Arabidopsis thaliana: one gene and its partners. The protein of the gene in region 3 interacts with the protein of the main gene of each other region in a pairwise test. Each region holds a gene or a part of one and is shown on either strand. Other genes may lie near its edges. The genes, in order: MYB62, APL, AT4G29930 and NAI1.

What was found.
Region 1: the proteins of AT4G29930 (region 3) and MYB62 interact in a two-hybrid assay, tested with the Arabidopsis thaliana proteins (one large-scale study listed by BioGRID).
Region 2: the proteins of AT4G29930 (region 3) and APL interact in a two-hybrid assay, tested with the Arabidopsis thaliana proteins (one large-scale study listed by BioGRID).
Region 4: the proteins of AT4G29930 (region 3) and NAI1 interact in a two-hybrid assay, tested with the Arabidopsis thaliana proteins (one large-scale study listed by BioGRID).

The regions. Positions count from the first base shown.
Region 1 is NC_003070.9:25,599,976-25,607,627, reverse strand, and holds MYB62 (myb domain protein 62), read right to left. Parts: upstream 3,953-7,652; 5' UTR 3,787-3,952; coding exon 3,633-3,786; intron 3,545-3,632; coding exon 3,415-3,544; intron 3,321-3,414; coding exon 2,744-3,320; 3' UTR 2,447-2,743; downstream 1-2,446. Other genes in the region: AE7 (MIP18 family protein (DUF59)), read right to left, coding at 6,389-6,486, 6,595-6,640, 6,967-7,066, 7,151-7,244. UniProt on the Arabidopsis thaliana protein: Transcription repressor of phosphate (Pi) starvation-induced genes. Negatively regulates Pi starvation responses via the repression of gibberellic acid (GA) biosynthesis and signaling.
Region 2 is NC_003070.9:29,874,086-29,882,385, forward strand, and holds APL (Homeodomain-like superfamily protein), read right to left. Parts: upstream 5,195-8,300; 5' UTR 5,051-5,194; coding exon 4,876-5,050; exon of another isoform or gene 4,786-4,875; coding exon 4,709-4,785; intron 4,573-4,708; coding exon 4,506-4,572; intron 4,377-4,505; coding exon 4,310-4,376; intron 4,224-4,309; coding exon 4,181-4,223; intron 4,084-4,180; coding exon 3,436-4,083; 3' UTR 3,143-3,435; downstream 1-3,142. Other genes in the region: AT1G79420 (C-type mannose receptor (DUF620)), read left to right, coding at 1-81. UniProt on the Arabidopsis thaliana protein: Transcription factor required for phloem identity. Has a dual role both in promoting phloem differentiation and in repressing xylem differentiation during vascular development. Regulates the expression of the transcription factor NAC045 (AC A4VCM0).
Region 3 is NC_003075.7:14,640,265-14,650,063, reverse strand, and holds AT4G29930 (basic helix-loop-helix (bHLH) DNA-binding superfamily protein), read right to left. Parts: upstream 6,071-9,799; 5' UTR 5,957-6,070; coding exon 5,877-5,956; intron 5,755-5,876; coding exon 5,589-5,754; intron 5,205-5,588; coding exon 4,947-5,204; coding exon of another isoform or gene 4,896-4,946; exon of another isoform or gene 4,847-4,895; coding exon 4,559-4,846; 3' UTR 2,705-4,558; downstream 1-2,704. Other genes in the region: PRHA (pathogenesis related homeodomain protein A), read left to right, coding at 1-25, 141-413, 516-596, 749-829, 991-1,071, 1,229-1,309, 1,464-1,718.
Region 4 is NC_003071.7:9,680,937-9,689,099, reverse strand, and holds NAI1 (basic helix-loop-helix (bHLH) DNA-binding superfamily protein), read right to left. Parts: upstream 4,539-8,163; 5' UTR 4,243-4,538; coding exon 3,763-4,242; intron 3,376-3,762; coding exon 2,962-3,375; intron 2,848-2,961; coding exon 2,779-2,847; 3' UTR 2,487-2,778; downstream 1-2,486. UniProt on the Arabidopsis thaliana protein: Transcription activator that regulates the expression of at least NAI2, PYK10 and PBP1. Required for and mediates the formation of endoplasmic reticulum bodies (ER bodies).

The DNA of each region.
Region 1 (7,652 bases), on a different chromosome or scaffold from region 3:
TACATGTGTATTAGTGCAGAGTGCATATGGCCTCACTTATCCTTCAATTCCTTTTTTTATTTTTCTTAAATTGGGATGGTTCATTGTTTCTATGCTCTCTACACAGTCGACATGTGAGATACGAGGTTGGTTCACTATTCACCGAAACATGACAATCTATTCATGTCTTAGGTTTGACTATAATAGTTATGGAAGTGAAGATATAATCTGTTTGAACAATGTGAACAAGATGAACTCGGAAACACGGAACAAGAAAATGAGCATATATATATATATGCGTAATACGTGTAACGTGTGGTTGTAAGATTTGGTGCCAAAACAACACTGTTTACTTTACGAGATGGTCATAACTTTTGTTGTAAAATGTCTTGTTTCATGAACTAAACCAGCTGGTGTTCTTAAGTTGGTGCCTCTTCTTAAACAATAATCTTGACTTTTGACTTTCTCTAGTCTTTCATACTAACCTACGGCCTACCTAACCATACCAACGTTAATATACCAGTGCCACCCACTCTACTTCCCCATTATTTGTAGTAAGACTTTTTTTTTTTTTTTTTTTTTTTTTTTGGTTTGTAGTATTTCTTAACCAAAAAGTAATTTAAAAGACATATTTCTCCAAACTAAAGATTAGAACATTGTACGTTAATATATTTTGTGTGAACTGAAATATTTGGTCTTTTTCTCCCTGATGTTCTTTTCGGGTTCAACCGATGGAACTATCGATTTCGGTTCATAACTTTTGATATTTCTGCGTATCTCCAAATTTTTGATAAATGAGTATTGCAGTAGAAATGTTAGTTTGGCCCATCTCGACCTTAACAAGCCATACAGTTCTACGACACTTTAAATTGAACTTGCCTATTTTAAGATCAAGGTTTGGTCTCACTATCTGCCTGGTTGTATGGTCGACCAATCCGCAGATATATAAACTATTCAGACAATATAAAGATTAAGCTTGGTGATATGTAGACCAAACATGACTTCACTTTATTTGTTTCCCAAAAATTTTTTGAACATGAGAATTTCGATTACAGTGATTAAAATAAATGTGCTTGTTAAGTTGGGAAAATATGATTTTTTTTGGTTTCACTCTAATACCATATCAGTCGAGAAGGTCCGATCGATAGCCCACTTTTTATTTTGTGTGGGTAAGGGTAACTGGAGAAAACCGCAAAAATAGACACTTAACTACTTGACTAAAAACATTTTTCAAAATATATATGATTTTATGCAATTAAAATTCCACAATATATAGATCATTGTCATTGGAAATGAATTTTGAAGATGCAAATGATTTGGCCGCGTGGATTATGTTCTTACAAAATTTGAAATTTTTTTGCAACTAACATATATCCGTAATTAATGAATATTTGACCTATACAGTAATGTTTCTATTCAAATTGGGTCCACGTTACTCATGTCTTTTCTAAAAGTATTTGGCGTTTATCCACCAGTTTTAGATATTTAATCTTTAAGTTATACAATTTTATAATTCCACGTCCATAGCAGGACCATCTACGTTTCTGGATTCGATCATAAGGAATTTTTTTTTTTTTTTTTTTTGTATATTGTCTGAAATACTAAAATCTTTACATACACAATGAGTGTGATCTATCGTTCATAACCTCTCAAAAGTGCATCAATGTTTGTTCCAACTTTTAGTGGTACCCTTTGGGTTCAAATCATTGTGGAGTTTCCATGTACTTATGAAAGGCTTTTGAAGTGACCTCCAATAATTCGATCCCATTAACAAGACTTCTCCAAAGCCACCTTTCTCTATCATTTTAGTTGAAGCTCTTTTCAGATAATTATAATAAATAATTGATGGGTCCTTTGTCTCTATTATCTTCTTGAACCAACATTGATTACTGCTGGTATACAAAATGCGCATATATTAAAACTTTTGTATGGTTTGTCTAAATGCGTATATATTAAAACTTTATGTAAGAGCATTCAACTATGTAATCAATTCTTTTATTATTATTTATGATTCGTTAATTCCACAAAAAAACGATTTATGTCAATCAAGCCAAATGCCCTGTAATATTGTCAACGATCTTACAAAGAAACACATCAAATTTGGTGAAGGGACAGATGGTTGAGTCTCTATCCCCATCATTTTAATATCTTGGATAGATCGACTCTCCTAGCTTTTGGGTTATTTCACCTGTTGAGGTGAGATTAGATATGTTTTCTTCTCACTAAAATCCACACAAGTCTCAAAGATTTCAAGACAAGAGACTACCCTTTACTATTTACTCTTAAGTCTAGTCATGTATAAAATTGACCTGGTTAGTTCATAAATTGAAGTTCCATACACTGATACAAGATTTCTTGAATTTAAAGACTTATATAACAAACAAACAAGCATTATAAATAATTATCCAAACATTGACTTTGATCACCAACTAAGAGGAAAAATTTAGACTAATTTAACATGTTTCAATTCCAATCCGAAAAGAATATGATTAAAGTTTAAAACTTCATAAAATTCCATACATTGATAAAAGATTTCATGAATTCAAAGACTTGTACAAGAAACTATCATTATAAATATTTATCCAATGACTTAGTAAGTACTCGCAACAAAGAAGATACAAATTTAACATGTTCTAGTCTCCAACCCGAGATAATATGGGTAAAAGGTTCGAAACTTTTTGCTTAGTTAAGCAAAAGAAGTATATTAGTCCATATAATAGAACCGTAGTGGTAGGCTCTACCATCTCATCTCTTGACGACTTAATTACTCCCTAAACTGCCAAATGTCATCCACATTCCACATGGGATCTTGTGTAACATCCTCGTACGCTGAATAACCATCCGCCACGTGACATTCCATTGAGATGTCCGAGTTTACCATGTAATCCTCCATGCCAGGAACATATCCTCCGAATTCTTGAACATTGCCTTCATGGAAACACATCGAGCCATCGATGATATTGGTGTTGCTTTGATCCATAAAGTGTGGAACTGTTGTTAGATGAGACATGCAAGTAGAAGTTGAAGAAGAACCGTCTATGTTGCTGAAACCCGAGTAATCTATATCTTTTTGCATACTTAAAGAGTCGTGAGATTGAGAAGGAAGAAGAAGAGAGTTGTTGTTGTTGTTTTGGGGACAACAATAAGTAGTAGTAGTGGATGAGTTTTGTTCCATCTTCTCGATCAATCTAGGGACCCAAAAACTACGAACAGCGTCAAAGAACTTGTCGCTGTTAGATTCGATGTTGAGTTGACGAGCTTGTTTTTGAACTCTTGTTCTCCAATAGTTCTTGATCTCGTTATCCGTTCTTCCTGGCAAGTACTGTGCAATCTTGGACCACCTTAGATAACAAATATTCGTTTAGGAAAAAAGAAAAAAAAAACAAAAAAAGAAAATAAAAGACTCTTGAGATATGAAAGTGACTCATCACTCACCTATTACCCCATTTAGAGTGAAGCTCAAGGATCAAAAGCTGTTCTTGAGGAGTAAGATTCCCTCGTCTTATGTCGGGTTTCAAGTAATTCAACCATCTCAATCTACAACTTTTCCCAGTTCTCTTTAGCCCTGTTCTCATTTTTGTTAAAGATAGTGATTATATAGTAAAGTCAGAGAATCTAACTAATAAACCAATATCAAGTTCTTGATTAATTACCAGCACATTTGGCGACGTGATTCCAACGACCCTCACCGTTATGGAGGATGTAATTTGTGAGAAGTGTGTCTTCCTCCAAAGTCCAAGGCCCTCTTCTTAGTTCTTCATCTTCACTTTCTTTGAAGCTCTTCTTCTTCTTCATCGAATTTTCCATACTTAGTTTAAGTTTCCTAATTACTTAATGATATTTGGTTTGTGGTGTTTTCGTATCTTTTAAGCTCTATGCATGCATGACTGTATACAGAGAGAGAGAGATAGACTTTTAGGTGCTTTGAGAAGTGAAAGTGATTCAACAGGTTCTTGGGAATTTATAGACTCGTGGTCGTGGTATTGGAAAATGTTGTTACTTTAGCCATCAGCTTGCTTTTTTCCAATGAAAAATTAATTATCACACGTTTCCAAATTAAAGTAAATTGTTTTACTAAATTAGCTTCTCTTTTTAACTCATACAAAATATTGTTATTTTTTTAACATTGCCAAGGACATTTATACATTCTAAAATTGTCAAAAAACATGTTTTAACTCATTAGTATTTGTTATCACAAAATATCTCATTGACATTTTCTTAATCGCGTCTCTGTTTTCATCTTACGCATGCAATTTTTCTGAAATTATTTTTCGAGCTACCATTGTTCAAAAGCCAACACATATATGATATATGCAAACATTTTTTTTTTAAATCATCTGGTTTTTGTTTCAGTTAAATATGACTTTCTTAAAAAAAAAAGTTTTGGATTAGTCGAATCCTGCGATGAACCCTGGTCCAAGTATATAATTCATTAGAAGCATAGAATATATCGATACAGTTTCATAAACTTTTTTATGCGACGATGAAACAGAAATGGAATTTTGGTGATTTAACTCTATGGATTAGATGTTCACGTGAAAAGAATATGGAACAGAATTTTGGAAGAAGAAAGTACGATTTAGATTCTTAAATACTAAATTAACTATACAGGAAAAGTTTACAATAGTCATATTCATAATATGCTATAGAGTTCATTTTTAACTCTTACCTCTGTGATAGTGTATACTAGTCATTTTTCTTTCTTCTACTTCTAAAATTGTCTTTATCCCAACTTTGGCTAACAGTTTTTATAAAAATTTTGGTTTTCTATTTGGTAATGTTGCTGAATATTGAGATTGAACATAGTTTAACATAATTATTGGTATGGGAACAAGAAGCATACATGATACATGTGTCTTGACTCGAGACAAACAAGATATTACAAAACCTAATAAACCACTGTCCCACAAATTATTGATTAAATAAAAATTGTACCAAAACAATCCAAAAATTGGAATAAACACTCCAAATGTTTGATCAAGAGTCAAGACTTTTTGTTTAGTAGCTTTGAGCTATTGTGGTCGATGTGGCATCATCCGAATTCATATCCATATATTACATATGGTGTAATGAATGATATAAATTCTTGTAACTTTTATGTAAATGGTAAAACTAGAAGACAGCTATTTTTAACAACAATTTTCTAGAAGCCAGCTAATTTATGCGGACTTAGTATAGCATATTATCCTTTCAAACTTTGAATATTCAAAGATTCTTCTTCCTATATTAGTTTTCATTAGCTCAAATCGTATTGTATAATATTTTGTTAAACAAATAATAATTTTGGAAAAATAAGGAAGGGTCGTGTCGCTTTACACCGGCAAGTCAAAAAATGTCTATGTGCATGTATTAAAACTTATGGTATTGCTAATAACTCTCACTTACTGTTCAACCCAATCTTTTGAAGATGATAACTCCCAAAAACCAAAACAACATGTAAATAAAGCCTAAAGACCAGGAATAAAGAAAACAAAGTCGATTTGACATTTGTGTCTTCATTATCCTCTCTTATTATATAATCAACAATGACATAATTGTTACTATGTTATTAGTAACAGTCATTTTTGTTCTATAGAATTACAGTTACATTCATTTCCTTCAAATATTATCCATATAATTGGACTAACGTAAACAAATTTAAATATTTTTTGTCGTCTACAACTCACATACGCATATTTTCAAATTTAAACTCTACTTATAGCATAACAATTAACGACGACAATAATCAAATCACGAGACTACAAAAGAAGATGATTGATTGTTACCCGATTCTCGAGTTCGTCAACATCTACAAGATATATATGATTGCAAGATTCTATCGGAGGGTTACAAGTTATGCAACTAGGTTGATCTTGAGACCAAGTTGCTATATACAAGATTCTTGTTAAAGTATGATTCGAGTCCCATACATTATACAACGAAACAATAAACATCATATACTCTGGATAATCGAAAACCTAAAGATAAGTTGGGACACAAAAAGAAAGTGTGTGTTTCAAGTTTACATATCCTTTCCAAAAATATCCATCTCATTATCGTTGTTTCCTTTTTCATATATCAATACATCTAAGAAGAAGAAGAAGAAAACAGCTTTTTGCTTCATAAACAATTTGCTGACTTTGTAATAATGCATTAAGAGAGAGAGAGATGTGAAGTTCCCAACTTGATTGATGTATATGTACTTTGAAATCGAAATGACACGTCAACTTTTATTAAAAAGAACTTGTGTTTGAGACTTTATTGAAATGATTGAGAACAAACTTGAAATCAGAGTAAGTATTACAATGCAAGTCCTAGTCGATGTGATGGATCAAAATCTTTGCAAATAAAACAGAGACATGTATTGATAGTGTAAACTGAGACCACCAGGCTTGTGTAAATTACTTGCTCACAAGAAAATAAAAGCAATTCACTCTTCTGATGGCAGGCATTCATCAACCATCTCCACGAGGTTTGGATTCTCTAGTGCAGCCGCCACACGTTCTTTATCGTTTAGTTGTTTATTCACTGCATTTTAAACACCAAGAAACCAGACATCATGTTAAAGAAGTACACTCGATGTAAAGCAAAACATGCATACCAAAAAAGATGGATAGATATTGAAAAATGACATACATGCATCTTCTGTTGCATGAGAACCAGGTGCTACCCTTATATCAATCTGAAAAATGAAGATTCGTTTCAGAGGACTGAGGCACATAAAACATTGTGCGAGTGTGTTTTAAGGCAGTCCTAACTATATATAGTAGAGGCTAGGGCTATCTTCTCTTCGCAAGTATCAAGAACAGTTGATTAAGAATGAAAAATTAAAAAATTTCTCTGCCTCATATATCATCACAAGGAGAACATGTGTTGGATCTCAGTTACGTTCAAACCACTCTCGATAATGTATAAATCAGAAAATGGGCTCAGAAGATCATCTTGACAAACTTACAGGAAAAGGGAACCGGAAAATCTTAGAAATGAAATAACAAGAAAGCTTTGTACCTTGTATCGAGAAGGAAGGCTTCGTAGAAGTTTCACACGGACACAAAGACCGATAACGGTTGCCATGCTACAATGTTCGACAGTTGGAGTGAACGTAACCCTGAAAAGAAATGGTAGAGCTCAACAGATTGGCTCAAAGGAACACTAAAAATCCATAACAAAACGTTCAATCCCAACATTTTACCTAACATAACTGTTCTCATCATCCACTTCAACTGAGTCTTCTGTAACTACTCTGAGATCTTCCAGAGTATTAGGATGCTCTGGATCTTTGATATCTCTTATATGATTTGTGTATTGTTAAAGAAAACAACAGAAATAATCCAATATCATTCTGTATCAACTAAAACATAGATTCCATTTGTTCACAGATTACCAAACCGATACCACGCATAATTACAAGAAATTTAGCATTCGAGAACAAAAGATTCATAGGTAGGCTTTAAGCTAAGAAGCATGTCAAATGGTTCCAACACCTACTTCGAAAAGATATGCATATGAGAACAAAAGATTCATGACTTCTAATAGTGTAAAGAAGCAAACTTCAAGCTAAGAGGCATGTCAAGTTGTTCCAAAACCTATGCATACACTAGCTACTCTTAATTTCAGATGCTAATAGCTGTAAGACGATAATCACATCCTCACAATCACACACAATCAAACCAATTCACCAATTAAGGTTTGCA
Region 2 (8,300 bases), on a different chromosome or scaffold from region 3:
TCCTTTATTCCTCCCGCCGATATATTTGAAGATACTAACCCTAACAATAATAATATTTACAGTATTGTTAATTCCCGATGATTATGTGGACTAGTTTAATAACCAGAAAACAATTTTATTGGTGGGTTAATTCGTTGATGGTATATGTATGTACATGTTTGTTCTATAAAATCTAAAAATCCATGTTTTGTTATTTTGGGTTGTAAGCTTGTAAGATTATGACGAGTTCTAATATTGGATTGGGTTGGAGAAATCAGAATCGTTCGTTTAAAAGTTATTGGATTTTAAGTAAAAACCATTCATTTTCCTGAAATTAAATCAAGCAAAAAAAAATCATACAAACTAACTAAGGCCTCAGATTTCCCTTAATGATACCCATATTATTCCTGGTACAAGAGAGTCAAATCAGAACCCACGACATGAGTACTCTAATTTTTCTCCATAAATTTCTGAATAAAACCCTATATGCGGAAATTTAGTGATATGAGCAACCAGTCAAACAATTTCTAAGGTTAACTTGGTTACTAAAAGTCTACGATTAATTCTCAAGATCGGAAATGGTCACAACACGAAACCAGAATCGTCATTACCGCCAATCGGATTGATGATTCTCAACTAGGGATTTTCCTTTTTCGTACTAGGGAGGATATATAACATTCTTATTGGACTTATCTTAGTGGGCATTATATGGAAGCCCAGTCTGATTCTTCAGCGTAAACAAGAAACTGATGCAAATGGGCTTTTCTTCTCTATTCTTTTTTTTTTTTTTTAATGTAACAAATCTAATGATTTATTTTTCTTTCCGTAATAAAAATATATGAATAGTTATTTGAATTTTTTGGAAAATACTCAAAATAGGTTAGAACTTAGAAGTAATGGAAAAATGACGACAGTAGAGAAAGAAGGGACAAGAAAAATAGATGCTTCGGGAATGTACTTTGTTAAGAGAGCATTCTACATCAACACATACCAAAAATAAAGTATCATTTTGAAAAATATAGAATATCAAAAAGAAGTATATTATCTTCTTCTTCTTCTTTTTTTTTTTTTTTTGGAAAACAGAAGAAGTAAGGGAGTAGAAAATGGAATCCAAGGTCGAGATCGTAATGAGGTGCCTACAGAGGATTTGTATGGAAGAATGTGCATAGACCATCCAAGACCGTTACCTTTATTACTTTATTTGTTTATTATAAGTACTTTAGTTTGCTTAACAACCATAATAATTACCATATGATATGTGTACAAACATTAGCTTTACTATTAGCCTATTTAAAATTATGATATACAAGTAAAGCTACGATCACATGCACGTTTATGCATGTGAATGCGAAAAAAAAAAGTAACAGAATGAGATGTTCAGATGGATATATATTAAAAAGCACCGAATAGTTATAATAATTAACTTGTGGTTGGTGTGATTTTATTGTGAAATGAATATTCACAAAACATGCATCATCGTCATTTCGTCGGATCCACTTTGTATATAATGCATCTTCACAATTAAATTGATTATTGTACCATAACTAATTTATTGATAAAGTATATGATATTTCAAATGTATCCCCAAATAATAATTATTTTTAGTTATAATTTATATAGTATTTTTATAATAATAAATAAATAAAAGAAATTTATCTGATTTATTTTTTTTTGTTTTTAATTATTATTACATGGTCGTCTACTCTTTTTTGTCTTCAAATCCAATTAATTAAATAGAAGGAAAAAAACCGAGGAACGTAATTAGAGGGAATTAGTGGGGGCGTATGTAAAAGGAGAAGAGAAGCTTCCTCGAGAAGTGCATACATGGGAGTGCGTTAATATCTCTATGCTTCTCCTTCTTCTTCTTCAATTCTCTTTTTGCCTTTTGTTTTCCTCAGCTTTTAGAGAGAGTGAGAGAGACTGAGAGAGCTTTCTCTTTTACTTGCCAACTTGCAGTGATGACCAGATCTTTATATTTTCTCTCTCTGAACCCAACAAAGTTGATCAGTAATAATTTATATAAACATATACATATATGAGCCGTAATTTGTAGTTGTGACTAAATGGATGCATCGAGTAAGTAAAAATCATAGCAGAGCAAAAATTCTGAATTACAAACATTTTTTCCCGATGTTTGTAAGATCTATAACTAAGCTCCTGAAATTCAATTAAGAATGATCAGTGTAATAATTTTCTTTTGTATAAATATATGTCCTAATTAGTGGTCATATGAAGCAGAAAAGAAATAAAAGAATAAAGAACAAAGATATATACGGAAGGAAAGATAGATACTCAGTGTCGGTTAATTTCTCTTATGACAAGTTCTTTTATTTCTTTTGAAAAGGATCTTGTAGCTATCAATCTCTACATACACACTTACTTACATATGCGTACAACTGCATACACATATACATAGTAGTATCCTACAAAATCAAGTGACTATATATACATTTGAATCAAAGTTTACAGCTTTTCTTGGTGTTTGCATGTGGTTTTCCCAAAACCCTAAAAACCTTTTGCTTTGATGGGGATCATCATCATCATTATCACTTGCGCTGTCCTTTCTTTTTCGTATTTACTTATGATTTTTTTTTACCATAAACTTTATTTTTAAGTTTGATTGAAAATTTAGTTTCCCGATGCAGATATCCCATTTTAGCGTAATCATATATAAGGCATCAAGTACAAACTAACTTGAGATAGAAATAACTAACTCATGAAAAAGCAAAGGGCCCTTCAAAAGCTTTAAAATATCGTACATGCCTTGAAACATGAGCAACCTAGCTCTTAACACATAAATGTTTATTATTTGTCATATATACAGTTACGTTCATGCATGGGATATATATACTGGTTAAGGTAATATACATATGTACTGATTTATCATATACATGTACTAGATATACTTTAGTACATTCACATTTTATATGCCTCTAATTGGCAAACTGTCAAATATGAAAATCGTACAAGTATGTACATATGAAATAAAATTGCGGATGTAAGAAATTAAACTTAATTTATTTGAAATTGCCATTAAAAAAAGCTATCAAACATAGAATATGAAAATAGCTAGTTAACCATAAAAGGCAACTACAGATTTTATGTGGGTGATAAAAGAATAACAAAACATATATTCGGCAATTCTACTGAGACTAACAATGTAAAGATCAATCATCAAACAGTTGACTAGAAGAAATAAGTAACGAATAAGTACAAAATATATAGATCCTAAAATATTATAAGAACAGCAATAATATATAGTTTCCGTACAGATTATAAAACACGAGCAAAACTAATCCGGTAAACATAACAAAGCTTATATATTTTTTATTTTTTTTTGTTTTGTTTTGTTTTGTCTCATCTCTAAACCCTACGTCAAACTCACAATGACAAAACATATATATCTCGTTCTTACATTCCCATGCATCACTCATAGATAAAAATTAATAAATTGTATCACCCAAATGGCGAGTTTCTTCCTTGTATTAATCCACCATTAGGGTTCATCATAGGACTCAATGGTGATCTCCTAGGCGATGGCCTTTCCAGTAATTTCCCACCATTATTCCCTTCATCACCTGATAAACCTGATTTCCTTTCGTAGATCTCCGACAAAGAATCCAAATCCGTGGAGACATGTGTAGCCATCTGTATCTGAATTCTATGCTCATCATCGATCGATTGGTTTGCGGAAAGATCGTGATCTTGATCAGACCACATCAATAGTCCTTTCCTTACATCGTTACCAAAATTAGGATTAGGTCGCTTCTTCCCCAAGTAAATGTTGGTGTCTGCAGCATTGTTACCCGTGAAATGGTTCTCTATGTTTTGATGATGGAAGTTGTGATGGTCGAGGACTTGGTCGGTTGTGTTTCCATAGATGTTTAGGTCTTGAAACGGCGGGAAACTAAGAGGATGAGGAGGTGGGCCCACCGCTGCTGAAAGACTCGAACTTCCCAGATTACCCTTGTATCCTCCTCCGACGGCGGCTGCTGCGGTGGCGGCTGCCATGTTCTCACCGGCTAGGGTTTGGCAAGCTCTCTCCAAGATAGATTGCATGTACTTTCCTTGTGCTTCAATCCTCAGTTGCAGATGTCTTTGCACCTATAAAAATTGAATGAAATCATTTACTATATTTATGGGATACAAATTGATTTTGTACAAGCAGTTATCATAGAATATCTATAGGTTAATTAATTACCTCTAGCTGTTCATGCAACCTTCTCTGCACTTCCATTTGCATCCTGATCAAACCAACCTGGTGTGAGTTGCTGTAATATATATTAAAATGAAAGTTGAGAAAATTAACGAAATCTGATTAAAATATTACTCATTCATGTTGCGACTCATCATGCCAGAAGAAGAAGCTACGTTGCGCTGAATATCCATGGCAGAAGCTACACGTACGGTAAAAAAAATTAGAAGAAGACGGATCAAAGAACATATATATACATTAATACATATCTATATTATGGGTAACTTTTTTATAAAAACCCTAATTTGATAGAGAAAGGAAGAGTGGTCACCTCTTGAACCTTCCTTTGTGGAGTGATCTCCGTACTCCTTGTGCGGCTGCTTTCCAAGCCTGAATTTCTGCACCCATAGATCCAAATAAGTTGTTAGATTATTATATTATATTATTAAGTGAAAAAAAGAATAGAAAAGATAAAGAGGAGAGAAAATTAAAAGCAAGGAAGAAAAAAACCCTAATCTATATTTGTGTACATACCTGAAGATGGCTCTTTAGGTGGTAAAGAGTAAGACCCTTCACACCCATAACTCTCATAATCGTCTTTGGGGTCGCTTCTGCAAATAGAAATGATCAAAAACTTTGAAAAAACACATTTATAATTGGTTAAATGGATTGAATATATATTTGTGTATGTGTGTTCATACTGTCGGGGCCGCCGAGCTGAGCGACGGCGTCCACAAAACGCTCGTGGAGTTCGACGGTCCAACGCAAACGCGGTTTAGGGTCGGTGGTGAGGACAAGGCCTGAATCGCCTTGAACGCACATAGCTCTGTTCTCATATGAACCATTCATACTTGAAGGTTTCTTAGCATGGAACATTCTCTCTCTCTCTCTCTCTGACTCTCTTTCTCTCTCTGAAAGAGGGGATTCAAGAAACGAATGTGATGCAAAAATGTGAGAGAATACGATGCGTTTTTGAAGAGATCAGATGACGGCTTTTTTTTCTCTCTCTCGTCTTTTTTGTTTTGTTTGTAAATAAATTATGGTTTAGTTAAATATGTTTTATCGTTAGTAAGGAAGAGAACTAAAGTTTCAGACTAGTACACAGACGTTCCTTTGTGAAAAGATACTGTCGCTATCTTTTTCATTTGTGTTTTTTATCCTCTTAGCTTGAATACCTTTGAATTTCTTTCAATATAAAATGTGTGTAAAAGCCACTATACGTATACATTAAGTAAATCATGTCTGTCTCAGATTATTAAATTACTGCGCAAACTTAAAATAATAGTATATATTAGATATTAAATTGATATCTTTGGGGGAAATTGAATTTTGAACATCGGAGATCTCATATCAAAACGGTTATGGATGTGACGACGAAAAAAACAAAAAAAAAAGACGAAAAAAAGCGGTTACGGATGTATCTAATATATATGCATGATTTGTTGCATGATGGTTTTTATTTCTTTATTTCCTGATATAAACATTAAAATGACTTGAGATATCTAAGTTAAAATATAATTCACCTGAATCAAAGATATTGCACATCTATTATTCTTATATTTTTGGTTTCTTTTTCTTTACTACCTTATAATTTAGAAGTAATTTTTAAATCCAAATTTATCATACAATTGTTCTATATACTATTTTCTTAATCATGCTTGATTTGGAGTAAATAGTAATCAAAGATTTGTAAATATTTTCTTTATAGGAAAATATAAACTTTTAAAGTGAATATATTAAAGTTCTATGTATTCTATTCAATTAAGACCGCACGAGGAGAGTCGTATACTAGACTTATAGTTTGTCTACATCGTCATATATCGTAATTGGAGGCATACATACAAATATCTTAACGAAACAAATTCCACAAGGCTAGGGATTTTATCATTTATGGTAGGGTAAACCTTTTTGGCTAATTATGAGGTGAATATACAATTCTAAGCAATGATGAGCTTCGTTATAAATTAATAGACCGTATATTTTTGGAACAAATTTATTATATACATGCAATCCAAAACCGTTAGGTACGGTGGAATATTTGTCTACGACAAAAACGTTTTCCATTCATCGATTAGTAAAAGATGTAGTTTACATCCGCAATTAACTAGCTAGCAAAAGAAAAAAGAAACAAAAAGGTGAACAAACGAGATAATTAACTAAATTACTTGTATGGACACTACAAACCAGAAAATCAACTTTGTTAATATTGCCCTATTAGCTACTAAACTAGCTTATGTATAGAACGACGATGCATTTTTCAATATACAAACTAAAATCATATATAATTCATATACGCAACGATTTAGATTAACCCCTAAATTCAATTGCATGCATGTAAAATAAATGGTCAACCTAAATATATATGAGTGGGAGGTCCCATAGCATATTTACATAGAACAAGAATAAGTCAATGAATATGGCTGAGGCTGATATGCACACACAAAAAAGAGAGAATATTATCTAAGAATAAAATTTGAATTGAATCAGAAATTTATTAGAGGTTATATATTAAGTATTAATTAAGGGAAAGCATGTACATGTTAAAATGTAGACCAATACCAGTCAATGAATATTGAATTAAAACAAAAAAATTAACATAAGAATATGGAACAATTTTTTAAAGTTATACATATTATAAACACGGACTATTAATATGTGGAGAATTATGCATCAATGTGTAAAGATAGAGTTAACGTTGGGGACCTCTTCTTCTACTTATTAAAGCTCTTTTATTCTTTTTATTTTTACCATATGTTTTTCTTCTTTTCTCCATTTTAATTTATTGGTTAAAGCTTGCTGGGGCTATAACCTTTTTTGGCTTTTGTAGGACTGACGATTGTGCAGCTATACATGGTAACACATTTTTCAGATATTAATTTCTTGGAATAAATAAAAAAACAGTGTTTTTCTTTGCCAGAAATGTTAAAAATCTTGGCTGTGAAACGAATTATTTGTACAATAAATTAAATTAATCAATTACCGCACACAATTCTGACCAAGATAAAATAAGAAAATGGTTATAACTTTTGAATTTAAATATTAAATCAAAGTTCAAATTGCATGAGAATTGGAATCGATTCTTCTCCTCTTTGATGAATAAAGATAGATTCTTATTGCGCCAACAATATTAAAAAATGAAAATACAACTCCCGCGATAGATGCCAACCGTATAAACTTGGCCAGCCACATTTACATAGTTTACTAGACTTTTTATTTTTTCTTACCACTTTTTGAGTATAGATACACACATATATTATTCCTACTTATATTATCACGATATTTGTGTTTTCACAATCATCATCACTATTATCTACAAAATTGATTCATAGTGATATGATGCATATTAGCATTAGCAAATCATCCGCCCTAAAATCATTTAAGTTCTCATCTTTCTTTATTAATGTTTTCAATAATGATTTTAAGCTAAATTGTATTTTGCTTTGAAAAAAAGAAACCAAAGTTTTTGTTTTTAGTTAAACCAAGTAAAGCTAATGTTTAACTTTTAGCTAATTGTTGTTGAAGCAAACTAAGAGCTTAAAGAAAGAAAGAAATGAAATTAGTGACAATAAAGTAAGTCGGCTTATAAAAAAATAGAGGCCACAGTTGCTTGAACTTCAAGCATCTTTTTGTGATGGTGCTTTGGGATTTCTTCTCCGAAATGAATATATTCCTTCTAACCTTCTTATCTTTTCCCCACTTAAAAAAACTACAAACAAAAATAAAATCCCAACTTTGGCATAGAGCCATGTAATCTAACGCTATTTTGAAACATAACTGATCCAATTTTTTTGAATAATTAATATTTTAATATATAACACTAAATTCGATAAATCGATCGACTGTTAATAAGTCATAATCCTCCAAAACATTGTCACATGAGACATAAAGCGTTTATAAATAGTAATGACAAGATACTGATGAAAAAAGAAAAATAAACCCAATCGATTTCTAAAAATTGCTGATAAATGAAGCAAAGAACAACAACGTTTATTTTTTTATTTTTTTGGGTATATCCAAAGCAAAAATTGTCCGAATTACAAAAATTAACGTAAAACAAAGAAAAAAATAACGTAAACAAAGATAAATAAAATGGAAACCCCAAATTATTACTTAAAAATCATGCTAA
Region 3 (9,799 bases):
GTATATGGCACTGCGGAATAGGAAGGTAAATCGCTATTACTTGCTTCATTCACACATATGAACATTGTCTGGATGCCTACAGAGACTAAACTTCTTACAAGGAGATTGATCATTTGGCTGCCATTGTTTATATATGATAGACTGAGAGCGTGAAACAACCTGGGGATTCTAAGACAGTCTCTGGAGGAGATTCTGGACCAGAAGCAGTCATGGAGAACAACACTGAAACAAATGAAGTTCAAGATACTTTGGATGACACTGTTCCACCCGGATTTGACGCTACAAATCAAAACATACTCTCCCCATGTAATAACAACCAGGAGGAATTTCAACAGGAAAATGTCTCTTTTCCTTCACCCACAGATGAAAGTCAACAGTATCTGGAACAAAACGATTCTTCTTTCGTTCTAGTGGTAAGATAGAAATGATTAAGTACTGCTTCCATGAACTCGCCTTGACCAGTGGTTTTGGACAATTTTAGATTTTTAAAAGTGATTTGTTCTTATTGTGTTCAGCCACATGAAAAGCAAAGCAGCGAAATTAGCTTAAAGACGGCTGTAGAGGAGAATGAGACAGAAAGCAAGATGATGAAAGAGGTAAAATATAAATTAGCTGTTTCGCCAAAATGAGTTTCTAGAACATATCCATTAATAAAAAACCATGATTAAGTACTGCTTCCATGAACTTGGCTGACCAGTTGTTTTAAACAATTTTAGATTTTCAAAGTTACTTTTCTTTTTGTGTTCAGCCACATGAAGAGCTAAGCAGTGAAATGAGCCTAAAGACGGCTGCTGAGGAGAAGGAGACAGAGAGCAAGATGATAGAAGAGGTAAGATACAAATGAGCCGTTTCGCCAAATGAGTTCATTGAACATATCTATTACTAAAAACCATGATTAAGTACTGCTTCCATGAACTTGCCTTGAGCTCTTGACCAGTGGTTTTAAACAGTTTTAAATTTTTTAAATAATTTTTTTCTTATTGTGTTCAGCCACATGAAGAGCTAAGCAGAGAAATGAGCTTAAAGACGGCTGTAGAGGAGAAGGAGACAGAGAGCAAGATGATGGAAGAGGTAAGATATGAATTAGCCGATTTGCCAAAATAAGTTGATAGAACATATATATCTGATATTTAACAACCATGGTTAAGTACTGCTTCCATGAACTTGCCTTGACCAGTGATTCTAAACAATTTCAGATTTTAAAAGTTATTTTTCTTATTATGTTCAGCCACATGATGAGCTAAACAGCGAAATGAGCTTAAGTACAGCGGTAGAGGAGAAGGAGACAGGGAGCAAGATGACGGAAGAGGTAAAATGAAATTAGCTGGTTCGCCAAAATGAGTTTATTGAACATATCTATATTAAAGAAACCATGATCAAGTATCGCTTCCATGAATTTGGTTTGACAAGTGGTTTTAGACAATTGTAGATTTTTAAAGTTTATTTGTTCTTATTGTGTTCAGTCACATGAAGAGCTAAGCAACGAAATGAGCTTAGAAGAGAAGGAGACGGGGAGAAAGATGACGGAAGAGGAAGAATTGGAAGCAGTAATGGAGATGCTTTGTAGAACAGAAAACAAGTTACTGGACGTGACGCAGAGGCTTGATAGATTTAAAACACCAAAAGGCCGAAAAAAGTTAGGCAATTCTTCTTCTCCTTTACTTGAAGAAGACTCAGTAGTGTATGTTCCAATAGCAGAGATCAAGGAGAAAAGGTAACAATATATATATATATATCAAGAAAAGAAAAAAGTCCTTTGCAGAAGTTTTGGTATTGTTAGATTCTTTTGGAACGTAGTCTAAGAGAGTACCTAATGTAGTTTTGTGTATTATTCAGTTTGTATGTGTCATTTAAACTTCAGATAAAATCCCCCAGAAAAAAATAAAACTGGGATTTTTTTTTTAATGGAACTTTTTAGCTCTCTTTTTTGAATTATGTACATTTCGTTTTTTATTCTCTTTTTTTTTTTAATTCCCTTTTTCCAAATAACTTTGGCTTTTAATTTTAGTTTAAAAAATAATAAAGCTGAAAGATTTAGGTTCTTACAGATAGAGTAAGATTGGCAACTATATTTTTAGTTTCAACCAAGTAATAATCATAGAAAGATGATGGTTATAGAGAAAGCTTTTAGACCGAGTGTATATAGCGGTAAGAATAAATTGTTTACAAATCTGCAATTATCTGAACATAACTCCTTAACAAAGCCTACTGTCACTTTTATGAGTTTACTAAACATTTGTTGCCTAACTTTACAGATCAAATTGAAACAAATGGCAAGTCTCTCTATTTTGCAACTTACAATATGCATTTGATTCATGTTCATCAATTCAAAGACAAAGTATCCACAAAATCTTTTATAAAGTCATATTTGCTTTTTTAGTTTAACCATATTTCTTTATGTTTTTTTCTTCTTATACTCGGTTATGATTGCAATTAATTCAAATGATTTTTTTAGAAGTATAATTTTTAAGATTATAAGAAGGAACATGCATATTTTTGTTTTATTTTATTAGAAAACATCGGATGTTTTGTAGCTCAAACAAATAAACCCTCACAATAGTAGCTCTTCACATATATTGCATAAAACGGATTTAAGTAAAAAACCAGAAGTAAATTAGAAGTTGATAAGACAATTTGGATCATTATAAGCTGCGATGGCCATCTGTATCTTGGCCTCTACTGCACTGCTTTCTTCTTCATCCGCCTGCAAATTCAACGATTTACTATAATTAATACATCTATCACAATATAAACTAAAACAGTCCTATATTATTTCAATCATACGATATCTTTACAGAATTTTGAAGTAAATTAGGATTCTAGGAAGTCCAACGTCAGTATAGATTATTAAAATTAGGGGTGTTTAGGTTTTACACGAATCAGACAAAAAAAACTTCTTTTTTTTTGGCAGCACGTAAAAAGAAAATTAGAACTGATAAATTTGTGTATATACACCTGCACGCATTACTACTATAATTATTTCCCGTGGAAAATGAGATTGGTGGATAAATCATTGTTTAATGTTTTTGTATAATCTTTAAAAGGACGGATAAGGACAGGTTTGAAATGAAATGATCGACTTTTTATTTGATAAATGATTGGAGTATGATTTCACCAACTCTCAATGACTCCACTGGTCTATACCTCACTGTAATTTTAGCGTCTGATTATATTATCTTTTATCAAGAAAATGTTATAAAGGTGCATAATTCTTTTTTGTCAAAGAAAACCAACATAATATTATATTCATTTGTGAGGCAAGAAATACTCGTATTTGTTGTCATCAAAAATTTCCAACCTACAGCTTATAATATAATTACCTTTTTCAAAAAAAATAGAACGTTAGTTCACGAAACTAGCATTTTTGTAATTAGATTGTTTACACCAAAGTCCTAGTATATGATGATGATAAACAAATCAAATAGATAGAGATAATGAAATGAATTTGTATTTTTTAGAGTAAAAACACAAAATAATAACTCTTAACAAATCTGCTTATATTAAAAAGGACCAAACCTTAATTTCTACCATGAACTGCTATGGATATCATTTGGAGTAACTAATTTTTACCAAAATGATTAGCATAATGAAGACCTTATGAACCATATACAACTAGTTAACACAAATAACTTGCTAATTGGCTACAGTTGATTTGTAGCCTATTGTTAATTTGAGTTAAGAATTGATATAAGGTGTAGTGCTAGAAAAGTCACGTGCTAAAAGTGTGAAAGAGACAAACGTTGAACCGCGTGAGGTTATAAATTAGCCACGTTTTTCTAGTGCTACTATGCTTGGACGGCACTTTCTGGGACACGAGGCACTTGAGATTTCACACACTAATTTTTTGATTAAGTTAATCCTAATTTTTTATGGAATATGACATTTAACTTTTGAGAGAATCTAACCCTATCAGAAAAAGTCAAGGCGAAATTCGAAAAAAATGTGATGGGCTCGAGGCAACCTCAATAATTGGAGCTTTAATTGATTGATTAAGATATTACTGACTATATATACTTAAGGTGTAATGTGAATTAAGGTCCACTTAATGGAGACAGGTGGGAGAAAAGTAGTAATTAAATGGGTCCGTCTAAAGGTTATCCTTTTGAATTTGATAGTGATTTTCCAAACAATTCGTAAGTTTGAATTACATTTTTGTACTATTACGTAAAGATAACATATTTTCTTTACCAAAACAAAAGAACAATCCACTTTACTAAAGCACTTAGTCATATGCTTTTTATTCATATTATTAATTCTTGTCCACTAAAGGATTTGTCTACGTGCCGTCAGACGACCATTTTTCTCCCAAAATAACCAAAAAGAAAAGAAAATAGTAAGATTTGAATTTGGTATATAAAAGTCTGAATAGTTGCGACAAATTAAAAATGGACAAATATATTTGGTTGGTGTGTTTTATAGTCCGACAAGTGCATAAAACTAATTTTATAGCTGATTACAATTGATCTAACATTCTTTATTAGCAAGAATCTTCTAAACTATATTATCATCTCTTTCCATTAACATTTTATAATTTCGCTCCATGAGTGCAAAATGAGCGTCAAACCAAAACAAGACACGTACAGTATTCTCTAGATGCATTTAGAATTTTGTAGTTTGTACTAGTAATCACATTGCCAAATAAAGATATGAGAGAGGGAGAGAGGGAGAGAGTGACCTGGAGGAAGAGGGTGGTGGAGAGACGAGAGGTGAAGGAAGAGAAGTTAGTAGTGAGAATGTTGAGATTCAAAGACTCCAACACTTTACAAAGCTGCACCATTGTCTCTCTTTTCTTGCTACATGTTATGCATACCACTACCGTCTTCTCTCCCATCCATGTCACTTTCATCTGTTTTTTCATGTTTATATAAAAACAATTTGGAATAATTAACTTTACCTCAAAAGAAAGGTAATTTAGAATGTACTGCCAAATAATGCATAGTACGTACTTCGAGAACTTCAATGGGGTAGTGTTGTACTCTAGTACTGTAATCCATCTGCTTAAACTTTTTTGATCTCATGTCATTATTGTCTGAGAAATCTTGCAGATGAGTTTCCGCAAAATTGCAATCGTAATCTCTTACCGGATTTTCTAGCAATGTTGACCGTGATTCTAGCTCTCTGATCTCTGCTTCTAGAGTCTTCTCTTGATCAATAAGTTCTTGCATATAGTCGATAGAATCTTTGATGACAGATGCCTTGTCCAACTAAAAATAGATAAATATTAATACTTCAATAAAATCCAGTCTTAATCAACAAATCATCACACGTATACAATTATATGCTATCAGGGTAATTAGGGGACCAAAATACATTTTAGTATGGCTTGATATGGATTTAGAGTATCAAAAATTTGGTTTGCTTATTTGTTTAATGTTGGTTGGATTTGGTTTAACCAGATTGTATTTGTATAGTTTTATTTCTTTACAAAAGAAAGAAGAGAAAGTTTATTCGCTTATTTAATTTCTGTTGACCAAAACAAAAATTGCTGGTGACGAAACTTTATTACTAAATTATTTGGATAACAAATTAAATTTAAAAGAGACAGTTGATTAAACAAATAAGAGAAGTAATGGAATAATTAATCATACCTTGCTTATATTGGGAACAACTGACCGGAGAGCAAAAAGTCTCTGATTAAGCTTTTGCCGTCTGTTTCTCTCGGAGACAACGTTCTTCGAAGAAGCCGGCGACGTTGCCGCTCCGTCTGGCGAACTCGACTCGCCGGAACCCGAAAACGCTTCCTCCATCGGCCAACTTAAATTTTATAATTTATAACAATTTTCATTAATTACCAACTAAAGCAAGATTAATCTTTATCGGAAAAAAAAACTAAAGAAACAAAAAAAAAAAAAATGGACCAAGATTCTAGTAAGCACCTGTCAAATTCGAGTTCTTGATTCTGGAAGAACATTGTGGTTTCCCAGTAATTCTTGTACTCATGGTCGAGATCTTCCATTTTTCGGACACACAAAGATGATGCTTTCTTGAAATGGAAGGTTTTGTTATTTCTGTTTGTCCTTTCTTTCTTTCTTTGTGTCTTTCTATTGAGTGTACTATCAAAACAAGAGTGGGCCGAGGATTTTATACATAAAGAGTCTGACAGAGAGTTTTTAAGCACGTGGGATCTTAATCTCCTGAAATAATTATATACGATCTTGACCGTTCAATTCAGAGATCAAAATCTGTTTCCTTTTGTCCAATTGAAAAACAAAGAAAAGAGTGTATCGTATCTATCTCTTTCACTCACAATATGCATTATTCATATACTCAAATGGGTATAGACCGTATAGTACTTGAATTTAGGGCGTGTTCAATTCCAATTTCATTTTATTTTTGTGAGGTACTAGAAGAGTATCTGAGTATAAATGCAAAATTCTGTTCTTGTAGATATTAATCATTTGTTTTTCTTCTAATTTCGATCCTTAAAGTTAGAAGATGATGTCTAAGTAAGGAAAGAAGATACGTACTAGGTTTTTTTTAAACAAAAATAAAAGATACGTAGTTTCAGAATTCAAAGATTTAAACATAGGTAGACATCGTGGCTATGTGTATGCGTACGTAATGATTATGGCCAATAATGGTGATGATTAGTTGATTGTCAACTTTTTTTGCTAAATTTTATTGAAAATATAACCCACTTGGGTCCAGGATATTCTTTCATGTCCCTTGATTTGAATGCAGTAAATCTATGTTTTCTTCTATTATTTGTGGATATATATTTTCTTCTGATTTTTGAGTGTCTATATATTTATAAAATTCCATCTTCTTTAGATACTGTTATGAAATAAGTTGAGATATATGATTTTAACAAAGTAAGCTATAACCACGGACTTATCTAGCAATATTAAACACAAAATGTGACTGAAAAGCGAAATAATGTGGGGGTGATCCAAAATCTAAAGTATATAAAAATCAAATATCATAGACAGAAAATATTCATAGAATTAGATAATATAGCATATGCAATTTTATTCTACTGAATTGTAACTAAAGAAATATTGATTATTTAATGGTGTCAACTGAATTAAAAGTTGTGAAACGATTCGTAAAACTCTATTTATGATGGTGGAAATATTTTTTTCAATGGTTATGTATCATACATTTGAGTTCTCAGTTCTTTCAAGAATTTGTAAAACGTGGAAAGACATCAAGAAAACTGAAGACGGTCACTAAATCATACAACATACACATACTAAACAATACAACTAGTTCCACATTAATCCATTATACTCAAACTAAATCTAGTATCTATCTTATGAACTAAAAAAAAATCTAGTGTCTATCAATATGGAAAGGTTTTTACTTATATCGGCTTTGCTCCATACCCCGTGATTTTATTCAGAACTTTTAATCTGGATTAGAAATCCGAAAATACTGAGTTTGAGAAACAAATCGAAAAAAGTAAAAACTGTTTTCTCAAATCATTCGTCTCTCACTTACTAAACTCTTGAGAAAATGTGTAGGAAAAAGTTGTATTTTAATTGTATGAAATGAACAGTGTTTCGTTCCTTATGATATTGTTTTCACATTACTAAAGTCGTGGCTTGGATGGCCCAACATGATCTTGGTGATCAAAGATGATTATAATAAAATTATTTGCTAAATAAAATTATTTAACGTACTTATGTATGCTACCACGTGTATGGAGGATAGTGTATGATATGACTTGATATGGTTTTGGTTAAGAATTCATTAAAAGTCTTAATATTTAATTTATTTTGTATGCATAATCGTATTTCCTTTTGTTTATTAGGCTAATTAAAAGCTGTTCTATCTATAATCTTTGGAAGATTCATAAATTTTGATGACTCACCCACCTTGCAATTGCAAATGTATGGAATTGATTATATTGGGTCCAAATGACAACTAAACATTCCCAATATTGTCGGAGTCTAATTCTTTCGTTTCTTATTAAATATGAGGAAGTGTTTCTAGAAGAGTAAGAAGAAAATCGCAGTTCAATTTTGAAATCTACTTTTGTAGTAGAAAGCTGTATAAACAACATCCGTTCACGTTAGCTAGAATACGAAAAAATGTAACGAGTATTGAAACTCCGGTTCAATCTTACGTTACGATATCGGTTAACCAACTTCGACGACTTAAACCCATTCATCAAACAAAATGAACAAAATATGCCGATATGAGAGAAAGTAATTCGACTAAAATTCATTATTTATTTCAAAACATGCAAGAAACTTATTGGGCTGAAAAAACACATGTTGGGCTGAAGGCACGGATTGAACAGAGATATATTTTGAGTTCGGCCCAGACAAAGATGCTTAATGGTTTAGCCCGTTTGAATGTTCCAAAATTTAGTCTTGACTCTTCTTAAGTGTGTGAAGAAAAATGGTGTAAATTGTAATTTCAGTCATTTATGTAAAGTTTTGAAAATTTTCCATGTGGCCTTTTAAGTTTACAAATACAAAATAAATTTATTTAAAACTGGAAGCACGTTTAGATGAATATATAAATCAACAATAAACGAAAACGCAACATATACAAAAAAAAATAAAATAAAAAACAGCAAAGTAATTTACAACGTCCAAACAAAAATTACCAAAGAAAGTTTCCATAATTAATTACATAGAAGCTTTTTATTTTTGTTTCTTGTTCTATCTATCATAATATAACATGTAAATAATGAAGAAACTCCATCATAATATAGCGTCGTATCCTAACAAGAATTGAATAGCTACTGAAGAAATTCCATCATAACATAATATGTAAGTATTTTCTATGGCCAATCAAGTCTAGTCATAGGCTATAATTTTGGAGTAAAGTAACTATGATATTTTCTTTTTTTTTTGTCAAAGAACTATGATATTTATTTTCTTTCTAGTCGACAGTTAGGAATATAAAGAATCACTTGCGACGTATTGAGTTATTTATTTGTCTTGTGATGGAAGTAAAGAAACATTCGTTCAACAGTACCCAACAAAAGACAAATATAAAAGTGAATGACAATAAAATTTGTTAAAAAGAAAGAGCTTAATTATTCCTCTTTGACCGATCCTCTCCAATGATTTGTTCCGTTTTTCGTTTCCCTTTTTAATTTTCCTTTTTATATATAATTTTTTTATCAAACTATAGGCAGTTTGGTAACAACTAAATAAAATCATATTTTGGGCATTAATTTTTGTGCCAATCTTTGTTAAAAAGAAATTCGACTAGCAACTAATATTTACGTTTAAAAATATGTTAACCTCTTAGAGGTTTTAAAATATATATACATATTTGTTAACCTCATAGAAATTGGATTATTGTTTTCACTGTAAGCTTATCCTTCTGCAAAAAATCATTTATCACTAAGTATGAGACATAGATATACGGAGATACACATTACACAGCAAAGGTGACACTAATAAATAGATAATAAAGTTAATATTCCCAATATAAACAAAACTAAAGATACGTATATGATCTTTAGTTTTGGATACGACGCTAGATGATCAAAAGAATTTTATATGAAACCAAAGTTTCATCTTTTAAGTTATAAAAATAGTGAAAACTATCCATAAAAGATGTAAAAGGTGAAAAATGCTTTTTTGACTGCAATAGTTGAACATTGTACTACTACTACTTATCGTAATATCGTATAGCCACTTTAACCTAACTTTTTCATTTTCTTAAAAACATGATAAGTATATAACATGTAATAAAATGAAATATTCTCCTATGATTCTAAGTTATTTATTAGCTCTAATCTTTTACCTGTGAATTCATATAACATAACGAATAGAGATAAGAGAAGTATAACTGTCGACAACAAATAAAATAAAATATAATAACTTTATTAGAT
Region 4 (8,163 bases), on a different chromosome or scaffold from region 3:
GGGAAAAAGGAAGAAGAAACCAAGTTTAATAAGACTATCATAATAATATACTGCTACGTAAATCTGTTTCATCTTTTTTTATTGCTATCACTTTTAATGATACTGGTTTCACATAAATCTTAGAAGACTCCAAAACCTAACAATAACTCGATAACCAACCAGCACAAGATACTCACGTGGTTAAAGGTTGTAGCTCATGTGCCGGGTCTCCAGTTCGAAACACGTTGGAAAATGACTAATTAGCCTGCTATTGTCTCCGGTCCACAAAGATGTATGCGCCAATAGCAAACAATACTAACTCGATAGAATCACATAACAACAAAAAAAACATACTCGAAGTGAGACTTCAATACACATATACACACTTTTTTCGTGATGGAAATTGACAGCCGTTTTAAAATGTCAAGATGAACGTAAATGTGAAGTTGACGGCTCAATCTTGGGCCTCCAGTGAAAGGTTTCTAGTGCTAAGAGTTTTGGTAATTTTGGCTTTTTCCACTTAGCTTTCGCACTCTCATTTCGAACAATGGATTTGGAAATTAAATATGATATCGTCATCACTTTGTCTAAATTCATTAGCCTTTGTGTTAATATTGAGTAGTGGACTGAAATTGCTTTTATGATTTATGCTTCCATGTTTTTTCTTTTTACCATGGGACCACTTGTATATATTATAATTGAAAGATTAGAATCTAAATCATTATTATTATTATGGATTATTACATTCTAGCAAGGAAAAAAAGAAACCTAAATGTAACATCCCTAATTTTAGAAATATGGTTGTACATAAAGAAAGATTAAAAGAATTATTTTATTTATCAATGTTACTAAACTACACTTAATTATTTTTGGGGTTAAACATCGTGTTAAAACTCTATAATTAAACGTATTTGAGCTGGAGCACTTTTAGAATGAGTGACTTGCTTAGAAGTAATTTCTGATACATATTTAGACAATAAACAACTTTTTAAAATTGTTATCAGACGATGTTGAAGTCTACGAACTGAGAAATAGTATAGAAGACCACATACGGTGATGGTCGGAGCGTTACACTCAATTTGTTTCCTGTCAACATTTCTCAGTATATTTCTAGAAGAATCCCCGATGGAAGTAAGATCACTACAATTTTGTTGATTAAAAATTAACGATTTCCCCACCCATTATTTTTTCTTTAAATGACATTTATTGTTAGTCAACTTATGTCTTAAATATTTTTCCTATCACTGTCTAATGGGGGAATTTTAATTTTTAGCCCACTCGCAAGACACAATAAATTGTTTCAAAATTTATAACTACAACTAGTGCCTCCTCTAACCACTGTTTTTAAAGGGGTCGCTATTGTATTTTAATATTTTTATAGCAAAAAGACAAACTATTCTACAAGTATTAACTTTTCTATATGTCTATTTCTTAGTGGGGTCACAATTGTGTCTATTTTGTATACAAAATAGATACCATTTGTAGGTCTTATAAAAAAATTTGTTTAGTGAAAGAAAATTTGGTTTAAATATTTGAAAATACTAGACATATATTTCTTAAAGTATTAAATCTATTTTAAAATAATCTTGTTTATCATTTTCTTTTAACAGCTCATTCGTTGATTAATTAAGCACTGTTTACAATGTGAAAAGGTATATAAAATTTAAAAATAAAAAATAAATTTCAATTAATAAAATTTATCAATACTAAAGATTGATATAGAAGATAAGTATAAAATAAAATAATAAGATTAAAATTAATGTGTGATTAATGTTGAAAATAAGCAATGATTCAATTTTTCATTGTAAAAAGAAATGGAGGATTGTATTAAGAATATTCTCTCAAAAAATGTAAATTGTCATGTTTTCGAAATAGATTGTGTAGAATTACTTTCTCTATATTGCAATCTCATCAGAAATGTCCCGCTTTTTCAAAATCCTAGATGAGTTTGGTTCGCTCCAAGTTAAGTTTTTTTTTCTCGTTTTCTAATATTCCTCGCTCTTGTAATTTTCAAATTGATTATTTAGCTAAGACTTCTAAATCTTTAAGTTCTGATAATTCTTATGTAAACTCTTCTCTTTTTGATTGGGCTACCAATCAAAAAATGAATCTCTAATCAATGTGTAGTTGAAAAAAAAGTGGAAGATTTAGGACGAAAATATTGTTAAGTAATACTTACATAACCTTTAAAAACAAGGCATTTGGTCGACCAATCAAAATGGGAATGGGAGAAAATCATATCTCACAATTTATAATATAAATCTTGAACACTGAGATCAATAAGCAAATTTGTAACTATAGTAACCATTTTTATTTCAAAATACAAGTAAATAAAAATTTATAAGAGCCCATAGAGGTCAACTGAACTCAAAACTTTTATAAGAACACAAAAAGAATTTCTAATGAAATTTGTTTATAGCAGCATGAAGTCCCAATATAGTTAGCATAGATTTCTCGTTCTCAGTTAAAGATTTACAGATTAAGTATAATCAAAAAGTAATTAACATGAAGCCAATAAAATTAATGAACACTTAGGTACTTCATTATTGAACCAACCCAATGATATTGGGGAAAAATATATATCAAAGTATCAAAACCAATGATACAGCCATAATTAGGTACACACACCAATCCAGCTTTTGCACTCAACAAACGACAAAATCCCATATTTCGTGCATATATCTGGTTTTATTATCCAACTACTCATTATTCAACTAAACCGAGTGATCTGGTCAAAATTGGAGACCAAATCTAACACGTTTAACCACTGCGAAATTCACATAAACGTTTTTTAAAATATTATTCAGCTAACGCAACTCTTATGTTCTTCACCACTTCTTCAACTGGTCGAGAAAATTTGTTGTCCATCTGCAAATTAGATTTAAAAATCACATTAATACATAAAAATCAACAGTAAATGATAATATATAAAAAAAGATAGAATATGATAAATAAAAAAATATTAGAAGATTGATAACATACCTTAGTGAGAATGGTTATAACGAGAGTTGAATTTCCAAATGGTAAAGTGAAGCTATTGACTACTTCAAGACGAAACTTCTCCAAGGAACTTAAGATCTTAATCATACACCCTTTGTTCTTCTCACAATGGACTCTAATCAACAAATCTCTGTCTGAAACTCGGGCTTCGATCATAGGCATTGTTTGTTTGAAGATCGAAACTTCGTCCGAAGAAGAAGACAGAGGAGACGCAGCAGAGCAAGTAGAAGAATAAGATGAAGAATCATCATCTAAATACACTTGAGATCTCTTCACCAATATAATTGATTGATCCATTTTCTTGGTCACCACTCGCTCCTCCTCCAGCTTCTTTACCCGCTCTTGAAGTTGTTTCAAATGTTTGATGGCATCTTCAAGAACTGTTGCCTTGTCCGTCTACACACACACACACAAAAAAAAAAAAAACATTTAGTACAATATTTACTAGAGAACATTGTGTCACCATCCGGATTTTATGAGTAGTGGCATCCACATACAAACAAATTACAAGCCTATCATATTAAACACGATTTTTACGAGAAAAAAAACGTTTAAGAAAAAAAACAGATTTTCATTTTCAAAATGTAAATAAGAACAAGATTTTCTTATGTTTGTTGAGGTTGGAGTTTACATTTACATTTAAAGAAAAATGAGTTTCTTTTTCCGAATATATATTTACGGTTCTGGTGGGTTATTTATAAAAGAATATACTATATAATAAATATTAAACCAAACACAAATAGTTAAAGTACAATCAGAAAGAGATGGTTTATAGATGTTGACCTTTTTGAGGCCAGGAAGAAGAGCAGAGAGAGCAATCAAACGCTCGTTGAGCTTTTGTCGACGTTTTCGTTCAGCCAAAACATGTTCTTTCAATAGATGTGGTTCTCTTCTTCCTCCATTGTTAACACAATCTTTTCTTTTCGACCCCACTTTCTGATCCATGCTTACTTGGTTGGAGAAGTTCAAAGATGTCTCGACCGGGTTGGTTTTCGTGTCTGGAGACCCAAATGAGATCACTTGTGACGTGCGAGAACCAGAAGAAGAAGAAGACGACGGAGAAGAAGATGTTGAATTCATGTTGTTGTTGGTTTTCATTTGCTTCGTTGGTCTTTCTGCTAGCAACTCAAACCCGGTTCCAGATCCAGACTCGGAACCGGGGTTGGTGTTAGTTTCCCCGCATATCGGGAAATCGGATTCCCAGTCATCGATCAGATACTCGTCAGTGTCGATCATCAAATCCATAAAGCTTGAATCATCCATTACAAGAACTCTTTTTCTCTTTTGACAAGAGAGTAAAAAAAAGTTAATGTTGAAAGAATAAAACTAAACAAGAAGCTAAAGGAAAGAAAACTTTAGGAGTATATAAGGAGATATATTTTAAATTTTCCTTTGTTCTGGAGTATGTATGATTTTGTTTTGTTATGTGAATGTGGTCGAGTGAACTCTTTATAGTGGATCTATATGATTTTGTTTTTTATAATCATTATTTTGCAGTATACAATTAATATCTGCATGGAAAAAGAGCATATGGTTTATAATTGTTATATGAATTTGGCTGACGAATCGCATATCCGTTTACCCGATCCGGTAGGTTTAGCAATAATAAATTTTAGTAAATTAAAGGTCCTGAAAATAATTAAATGTGGGAATTGTTTTGGTTGAAATTGGTATTAATAGGTGGGGATTTGAGTAGCCACCGATGCGATGAGATCTGGCATTGGAAAACTAACAAGACTTTAATTAAAGATCAAAATCATGTGATTCGTACCATAAATGTATCCATCTTGATAGAAATATAGATTTGTGAGTCTATGACTTTAGGTAAGAAAAAAAAAAACCACAGCCCATCACGTGGACGAATTAGATTAAATGTAGATAAAGCATATGACATATGGATAAACTGGAAGAAAACAATGATAAATATTGTAAGTTTTTTTATTAGACAAAATTGTGATAGTTTGTGCAGTATTTAAATAGACCACGAAGAAAATTGTCAAAATCGATCGTTAGGAGCATAAAAAGTTATTTTCGAAGATCTTTCGATGCTCAAAATTAGAAAAAAAAAAAAAAATGCAGATGCAAAAGAGGATATGTAAATGCTCTGTTAGTTTAAGTGTTTTGGGTATTTGCATAGTATATTTCAGAAAATTGAGGTTTTAAGTAGTCTTGAAGATATCATATTATGGGTCTAAAGTTCATATATCATTTTATGATTAGCTCGTACTTGATAGTTGATAGCTAATATTTACCCCTAATGATATAAGTAAGTTATCATGTTCACTATTTTAAACACTGATGATGCTTGTTCAAAAAATAAAACAAAACCACTGATCGTGCCAACACATCAAATGATCAACATATAAAGATTTGAACTCAACTCCCCACGTGTTATTGCAAGTAACTTGGTCCCACTACAGATCCGAATTTGCTTATCAATGTCCAAAATCATTAGTTTTATTATAAGAAAACTCCAATAAAATCCAATCCTTCGTGACGTAGAATAGATTTTACGCTTATCATATAGATGATAATTGGATATTTATATTCTAAAGCCAGTAGAGGTTGAAAAATACTATGTTTATATAACTCCTACTTGTTTATGCAATAATACGAGGCTCCCGTTGAATCTGTCTGGACAAATTAAAAAATAATAATTAACTGTGATTAAATAAATGGTGAAATATTTAAGTTATAATTGAGTCAAATTTATAATTGAGATTGTGAATAAATTATAACTTAATTATAAATTAGTTACTTATGAAATTAAGATTAGTTCTATACACAATCTTAATTTCCGTGCTTCTTTGTGAATCGAAGATCTATAATTGAGTTTGTGTATAGAATTACTAATTAAGTTATTAATACAGCAGCGCAGATTCATGATTGTTCCAAAAAACTTTAGCAAAATCAATATTTTTCCAAAAAACACTTTTAAGAATTATTTTTTACTAATTAATTTAAAAATTCAACCATGATATAAAAGATTCCAGAATACAAATAGTCAACTATATTTCACATTGCATAGGAATTTGTAAAATATCCTATATGCTTAACTGGTTATGAGACGGATTGCGGTTAGTAAGAATAACACAAACACTAAAAATGATTTTTAGGGGTTTAAAATTTAAAATTTTGGGTTTGAATTTAGTATTTTGGGATTAGGGTTTAATTTTAAAGGTTATTTTTCAGGATTTAGGATTTAATTCTGAAAATTTTATATTTAGTTTTAGTTTTGTGGTATTTAGGAAAAAATCTTTTAGTAGTATTTTTGAAAAAAATAATCAAAAATACTAAATGGTATTTTCCGAACAAAATCATTTTAGTGGTCTTTTTTAGAATTGCCTTTTAATCTATGTTTTCCACGTCCTCATAACCTACCAATCAAAGCCATAATATTATATCGAAGAAGTTTTTCTACGTAAAGTGAGTTTACAATATAGATTTTGCTGTTAATTTCCTTTTTTTTTAATAATTAAAATACAATAAATACCATAATAATCACTCTTTGTGAAGTTGTCTCTGGAACCATTTTCCTATCCTCGTGAATCATGTGTGATTAATTGTTTTGCCTCATTATTGCATTAATATTATTATTAATAGTATTTTTTAGGTCAATGCATTCTTATTATAATATACCGATTGTTCTTATATATAGCAAAGAGATCAAAACTAATTCTAGGACCTGGGATCGATTAACCCAATAATAAATATTTTTTATAGCGACAACATATGTGATATAGTGGTTTGTTTAAATATCATCCATGTGTCATGCCATTCGTAATTAAATTTACAATATGCATTGCCAAAAAACAAAACAAAAAACACATTTGTTGTGAATGTAATCATTTTCCATACAACTTACATCCATATATGAAGGGATAATAATTGTTTTGATAATTTTGGTTACGGGCTCAATGAAGTCTTGATGTCTTTTTTTCTGTTTTTTTTTTCTTTTTGTCTTGATGTCTTTATTCACATCATTAATTGGTGAATTGAAAAAAATGTGGTTCAGTGTACCTCAAGCATACAATGTTACTATACATAACAAATATTTATCACCAACAGTGTTTATGTGGATAATAAATAATTTTTTCCCATATTGCAATGCTTTTTTTTTTTTTGTGTAAGCACCATATTGCAATGCATATTAAGATGAACAGAGAGAGTATTAGTTATACGTCTTGATTAATTATAATTCAAAAAAGAAATAACAATTTGAGATCTGTACGAATATACAAACAGGCAAACACCAGATTAATTAGTAGTACTCGTACATGTCATTACTTTACTCTTTATCTGAATTATTTAATACAAATAATTTAAATGGTTCGTGAATAATATATAACAAAATTGAGTAAAAATGATTTCATGATATATCCACCTTTAAGATGCTATTCTTTCTGGAAAAGATTGAGATCCATTTTATTAAAGCCTTTATAGTTTATATCAGTTAATGATCTCCACCCTCCATGTTACTCCTTACAAATTTTATTTATTGTTATTGTCTACATATTAATTGCGGAGATTTATGATGATAAACAAATATCGAATGAACCTTCTCACTACAAGGATCGTTTGAATAATTTAATGGAGTACATAAACTCCACATTATCAAAGAAAGATTTTCAGTTCACTCTTAATTTGTTTCCAACAAAAACTTTTGGGTATTTTTGAAACTCGTCAGATTGAACATGATTTGTAGATTGTAATCTAAGTTGTGGTTATGCTAGTATTATACCACGCTATCACCATCTGGACTTTTTTTTTTGTTTATAATTTATGTTGTTAAAAAACTGAACCTTCAAATAATTTTTCTATATACATGAAAAAAACAAAAATCATCTCCACAAGTTTAAAACTGTGGTTATGGTTTTATGAATGTTCGTTAGTAAATATTTCTAATAAGGAAAATCCGAATTTCTAATTTTTTTTTTGTATTATGGATGTTCGTTATCAATTCTGGAAAAAAATTTATACCTAACAATTGATTAAGACTACTCTCTCAAGTCTTAACGCTTTTAAAATGTATTTCGACAAAAAAAAAAAAACGCTTTTAAAATGTAGATGAATGGTTACAAATGCATTTACTTACATAATGCAATGTTTGAACGACGATTGATTAATTCCTTAAGTTATCAATAACAATGATATTTAAAGGTGATGTTGACTACGTAATAGAGC